Linked DNA regions of Macaca mulatta. The main gene of each other region encodes a partner of the protein of the gene in region 2 in a complex. Links are inferred from orthologs where the notes say so. Each region holds a gene or a part of one and is shown on either strand. Other genes may lie near its edges.

Region 1 (3,500 bases), on a different chromosome or scaffold from region 2:
CACCTTGGCCTCTCAGAGTGCTAGAATTAGAGATGCGAGCCATGACACCTGGCCGTCTAGCTATATTTAAATACTGGCTACATTTGATCCCTTTTTTCCTGTTGATTATTCTTTTGATTTTTGTTGTTTCTTTGTTTTTGATTTTTTTGTTTTGATTTTTTTTTTTTTCCTTTTGATTAGCTTGCTACTCCAGAAAAAGCTTCACAAGTTTGAGTTGGCCTGTTTGGCCAACCTTTGCCCAGAGACTGCTGAGGAGTCCAAGGCTCTAATCCCAAGGTTAGTACCAGTTGTGATAAGTTCTCTGTATACTGGATAAATTCCTACAAATAGAATTGGTGTGTCTAAAATGTGTATGCATTATATATTTGGATACATGATTGCCAATATTAAATGAAAGTGCCTTTTTTGTTCAATATTTCAAAGCACGTTTCCTGCTTATTAACAGTGTGTGAGAATGATGGTTTTATACCACACCAAGTGAGAGCAAAAATCTGAAACAGCTGGAACTTCCGTACGCTGATGGTAGGGGTGTGAGTGTTAATTACAACAGTCATTTTGGAGAGCAATTTGGCTGTGTCTGGTAAAGATGAATATACTCCATGTTCCAAATATCCATTCCTGATACATATCTCAAAGGTAACTCACACAAGTTTACAAGGAGACGTATATTCTAGTGTTCATTGCTGCACTGTTTTGTTTCTGCTTTTGTTTTTAGTAGACATGGGGTTTCACCATGTTGGCCAGGCTGGTCTCAAACTTCCGGCCTCAAGTGATCTGCCCACTTTGACCTCCCAAGGTGCTGGGATTACAGGCATGAGCCTCAGTGCCCGGCCTCATGCTGCACTGCTAATGATAGCAGAAATTTGATCATCTCTTAGTCAATAAGAAAGTGGATAAATGAATCGTTGTATAGTCACACAATGTTTATTGTACGGCAGTGAAAACAGTCAGTGAACTAGAACCACGTGGAATATCAACATGTCAGAATGAATTCTGAGGAAAAATGGCAGAAGGATAAACACAGTGTGGTGCCATTTCTTATAAAGTCTGAAACTGTGCTGCATATTACTTACGTATCCATAAATGTGTAGTAAGTATAAAATATGTATGGCAAAACAAATTTTTAAAAAAAGGTATGGCAATGATAAATACTAAATTGAGGATGGTGGTTATTTCTGGGGAAGGAGGGAAGGTATTGGTCTAGGAAAGTAACACAGCCATCCACTTTCCTGCTTATTAAAGAACTCTGGGCCGGGTGCAGTGGCTCATGCCTGTAATCCCAGCACTTTGAGAGGCCAAGGCAGGTGGATCCCAAGGTTAGGAGGTCGAGACCATCCTGGCCAACATGATGTGACTCCATCTCTACTAAAATACAAAATTAGCTGGGCATGGCGGTATGTGCCTGTCGTCCCTGCTACTTGGGAGGCTGAGGTAGGGGAATCACTTGAACCCAGGAGGTGGAGGTTGCAGTGAGCCAAGATTGCGCCACTGCACTCTAGCTTGGCAACAGAGCGACACTCCATCTCAAAAAAAAAGAACTCTGGCCAGGTGTGGTGACTCACTCCTGTCATCCCAGCACTTTGGGAGGTTGATACCATTAGAAAACATGAAGACAGTAAGTGAAAAATGCAGGGCTGGGTGTGGTGGCTCATGCCTGTAATCCTAGCCGTTTGGGAGGCTGAGGCAGGAGGATCACCTGAAGTCAGGAGTTGAAGACCAGCCTGGCCAATGGTGAAACCCCGTCTCTACTAAAAATATAAAAATTAGCTGGGTGAGGACTGGGCGTGGTGGCTTACGCCTGTAATCCCACCACTTTGGGAGGCCTAGGCAGGTGGATCATGAGGTCAGGAGATCAAGACCATCCTGGCTAACACAGTGAAACCCCATCTCTACTAAAAATACAAAAAATTAGCTGGGCATGGTGTCGGGCGCCTGTAGTCCCAACTACTTGGGAGGCTGAGGCAGGAGAATGGTGGGAACCCAGAAGGCGGAGCTTGCAGTGAGCCAAGATTGCGCCACTGCACTCCAGCCTGGGTGACAGAGCAAGACTCCGTCTCAAAAAAAATTAGCTGGGTGTGGTGTCAGGCGCCTGTAATCCCAGGTACTTGGTAGGCTGAGGCAGGAGAATCACTTGAACCCGGGAGGCGGAGGTTTCAGTGAGCCAAGATCATGCCACTTCACTCTAGCCTAGGGGACAAGAGCGAAACTCCGTCTCAAAGGAAAAAAAACCTGTAAGTCAAGTGGGGCTAACTGTACAGGTATATTTTTTATACTTTTTATCTTTTATGCGTTTGAAATATTTTGTAATGTTTTATCAGGAAAAGTGGAAAAGAAATACAGATGAAAGGTGAAGGTGTTAGAGATGTGGGCAGTAGATTAGCACGCCTCAAAGAAGAGCGTGGGGAAATTGCCAGTTGCCAAATCACTCATTTCTTTTCGTTTTCTTGTAGCTTGGAGGGACGGTTTGAAGATGAGGAGCTGCAGCAGATTCTTGATGATATCCAGACAAAGCGCAGCTTTCAGTATTAATCTCCAAACATCGCTGCTGCTCAGAGAAACCGCGTCCGCAGGCGTAACACCACCTTCCCAGGCTCTGGCTGACTTGCATGGAAATGCTGTTGCAGAGGACAGTTGAGAATTCCTTTGGAGAAAACAGCCCGGCTCGGCGTGGGGTTAGGTTGCTGTTTCAAATAACTCATAGGCCCAGGACATGGAATCTTGGAGCAGCCTTGTGCAGTGGCTGCCAGTGGCTTCCTGAACATGCCTCTGGGAAGTGTGAGATGGGGCCACACTACTGACTACCTCATTCATGGTTTTTGGCCTCCACATCATCTTTTTTCTTAATATTTCATGTTTTAATTTCAGTGCGTTTATACTTTTTGAAACTAGACCAGAATATAGTAGACTTTATAGAGAAAGACCAGTTTCACCTAGATGCTAAAGGAAGAATTAAACAACTGTTATTGTTTGAAATCCTTTTCTTTTTCTTTTCTTTTCTTTTAAATGGAGATAGGGTCTTAACTCTTACCCAGGCTGGAGGAGTGTAGTCATACAGTCATGGCTCACTGAAGCCTGGACCCCCCTGCCTCAGCTTCCCAAATAACTGGGGCCAAAGGTGTGCACCACCACTCTCAGCTAGTTTCTAAAATTCTTTATAGAGATGGGGTTTTACTGTGCTGCCTAGACTGGTCTTAAACTCCTGGGCTCAAGTGATCTGCCTGCCGTGGCCTCCCAAACTGATGAGATTAGAGGCATGAGCCACCACATCTGGCCTGAAATTCTGAAGGGATGAGAGTGTCGACAGAGCATGTTGGCATCATTGTGGCTAACCTGGGAGGCGGAAGAAGCATGCCATGGGCAGTGTTGACGAGTATTGTGGAGCTCAGAGTCCCTTGAGGTAGATGGCTACTTTGCCTTTCTTCTTGAACTGTCTTGCAGAATGTGGATTTGGGGTGAGTGGTCTTGAAGGACTCATTTAGTCACCCTCAAATTAAGATTTT
Region 2 (2,580 bases):
TACAGGCACCCACCACCACGCCCGGCTTATTTTTGTAGTTTTCGTAGGGGCGAGGTTTCACCATGTTGTTCAGGCTGGTCTCAAACTCCTGACCTCAGGTGATCCACCTGCCTCGGCCTCCCAAATTTCTGCGATTATAGGCGTGAGCCACTGCACCAAGCCCGGCCTGCAGTCCTGTTTTTTGAAGCTTCCATGAGCAATGAGACAACGTTACATTGTTCCAGTGGAAACAGTAGGTTTTGTCATTAAAGAAAAAGACATCTATAAATTAAGATAACAAGAGATCTGGCCAGGTGCAGTGGCTCATGCCTATAATCCCAGCACTTTGGGAGGCCGAGGCAGGTGGATCACCTGAGGTCAGGAGTTTGAGACCAGCCTGAACAACATGGTGAAACCTCGTCCTTATGAAAACTACAAAAATTAGCTGGGCGTGGTGGTGTGTGCCTGTAGTCCCGGCTACTCAGGAGGCTGAGGCAGGAGAATGGTGTGAACCTGGGAGGCGGAGGTTGCAGTGAGCCAAGATTGCACCATTGCACACCAGCCTGGGCGACAGAGCGAGAGTCTGTCTCAAAAAAAAAAAAAAAAAATAGCAAGAAACCAGTGTGACTGGATTGGGGCCAGACTCTGAGTCCAAGGGAGGTGCTGAGACTCCAGCAGCACGTGGGGACCCTGTCTTTGAGGGACTCGGGGCGGAAAGGGAAGGTAGGAAGGGCCGGTTCTATCCGTGTGGTTTCAGGGAGTCCTGGGCCACAGCCCAAGTCCCCGGGGTCCACATCACATTGAAGGCTGTGTGGGTGGTGCCCTAGGGCTCGCCCCCTGCAAGCGCAGGGGCAGGGTGGTGCCAGGCCCAGCATGAGCCACCCTGTGCCTGGCCCCCAGGAGGAACAAGGTGCTGAACCACTTCAGCATCATGCAGCAGCGGCGGCTCAAGGATCAGGACCAGGATGAGGACGAGGAGGAGAAGGAGAAACGCGGCCGCAGGAAGGCAAGCGAGCTACGCATCCACGACCTGGAGGATGACCTGGAGATGTCGTCTGATGCCAGTGACGCCAGCGGTGAGGAGGGTGAGCACGGGGGCCCGGGCATTAGGCTACAGAGGTACCTGCCCAGGCGGTGCCAGTGAAGGCACAGTCTACCGTCGCTCACAGTGGCCCTAGAATTCGAGGCACCTGGGGCCAGGTGCGGTGGCTCACGCCTGTCGTCCAGCACTTTGAGAGGCTGAGGCAGGCAGATCACCTGAGATCAGGAGTTCGAGACCAGCCTGGCCAACACAGTGAGACCCTGTCTCTACTGAAAACACAAAAATCAGCTGGGCATGGTGGTGCATGCCTCTAGTTCCAGCTACTCGGGAGGCTGATGCAGGAGAATCGCTTGAACCTGGGAGATGGAGGTTGTAGTGAGCCGAGATCGCGCCACTGCACTCCAGGCTGGGCGACAGAGAGGGACTCCGTCTCAGAAAAAAAAGAATGAGAGTCAGGCGAGGCTGCCTGGAGGAGCAGTGATGTCAGTCAAGAGGCAAAGCCAGAGCCCGGGAGAACTGAGCTGTGGCCCTTCTTTCTTTTTTTTTCTTGAGACAGGATCTCTCTCTCTCACCAGGGCTGGAGTGCAGTGGTACAATCACAGCTCACTGCAGCCTTGACCTCCCAGGGTCCAGCAATCCTCCCACCTCAGCCTCCTGAGTAGCTACAGGACTACAGGCATGCACCACCATGCCCGGCTAAGTTTTGTTTTTTTCTTTTGGAGACAGAGTCTTGCCCTGTTGCCCAGGCTGGAATTCAGTGGTGCGATCTCAGCTCACTGCAACCTCTGCCTCCCAGGTTCAAGTGATTCTCCTGCCTCAGCCTCCCAAGTAGCTGGGATTACAGGCATGCGCCACCACGCCTGGCTAATTTTTGTGTTTTTAGCAGAGACGGGGTTTCACCATGTTGGCCAGGCTGGTCTTAAACTCCCGAGCTCAGGTAATCTGCCTGTCTTGGCCTCCCAAAGTGCTGCGATTACAGGTGTGAGCCACAGCACCTGGCCTAATTTTTGTATTTTTTGTAGAGACTGGGGTCTCACTCACTATGTTGCCTAGGATGGTCTGAAAACTCCTGGGCTCAAGCCATCCTCCCGCCTCTGCCTGCCAAAGTGCTGGGATGACAGGCATGAGCCACCGCGCCTGGCCTGGCTGAGGTCTTTACGGGGGTTCCTATGAGAAACTGCAACTCTGGGTTGGCCAGTTTCAATAATTCCTGTGCGCTCTGGGCTGTAGGGGCTGTCCCTGGTTATCAGGTGCCTCGCCTGGGGTGGTCTGGGAGTGGGGAGTGGTCTGTGAGCGTTAGAGAACGTGGGTTGGGGTGTGGGGTCTGGACCAGGAGTTTGTTTAGGAGAGCTGAGCTCCTGGGCTGGCCTTGGTGGGGCAGTCTCCCCAGTCAGTGAGGCCCCCAGGATGTCAAAACTGCACAAAATACCCACTGCCTCCCCCTCCTTTTCCTTCCTTTCCTCCCTTCCCAGGCGGCAGAGCCCCCAAGGCCAAGAAGAAGGTGCCGCTGGCCAAGGGTGGCAGGAAGAAGAAGAAGAAGAAGGGCTCTGACGACGAGG

The links.
Region 1: GTF2F1 (region 2) and POLR2D share a complex: the UniProt entries of both Homo sapiens proteins name them as parts of the TBP-based Pol II pre-initiation complex. The link is inferred for Macaca mulatta from reciprocal best matches to the Homo sapiens genes GTF2F1 and POLR2D.

What each region holds. Positions count from the first base shown.
Region 1 is NC_133417.1:9,426,025-9,429,524, forward strand, and holds part of POLR2D (DNA-directed RNA polymerase II subunit RPB4), read left to right. Parts: intron 1-180; coding exon 181-276; intron 277-2,450; coding exon 2,451-2,529; 3' UTR 2,530-3,500. UniProt on the Homo sapiens protein: Core component of RNA polymerase II (Pol II), a DNA-dependent RNA polymerase which synthesizes mRNA precursors and many functional non-coding RNAs using the four ribonucleoside triphosphates as substrates.
Region 2 is NC_133424.1:7,259,735-7,262,314, reverse strand, and holds part of GTF2F1 (general transcription factor IIF subunit 1), read left to right. Parts: intron 1-879; coding exon 880-1,064; intron 1,065-2,493; coding exon 2,494-2,580. UniProt on the Homo sapiens protein: TFIIF is a general transcription initiation factor that binds to RNA polymerase II and helps to recruit it to the initiation complex in collaboration with TFIIB. It promotes transcription elongation.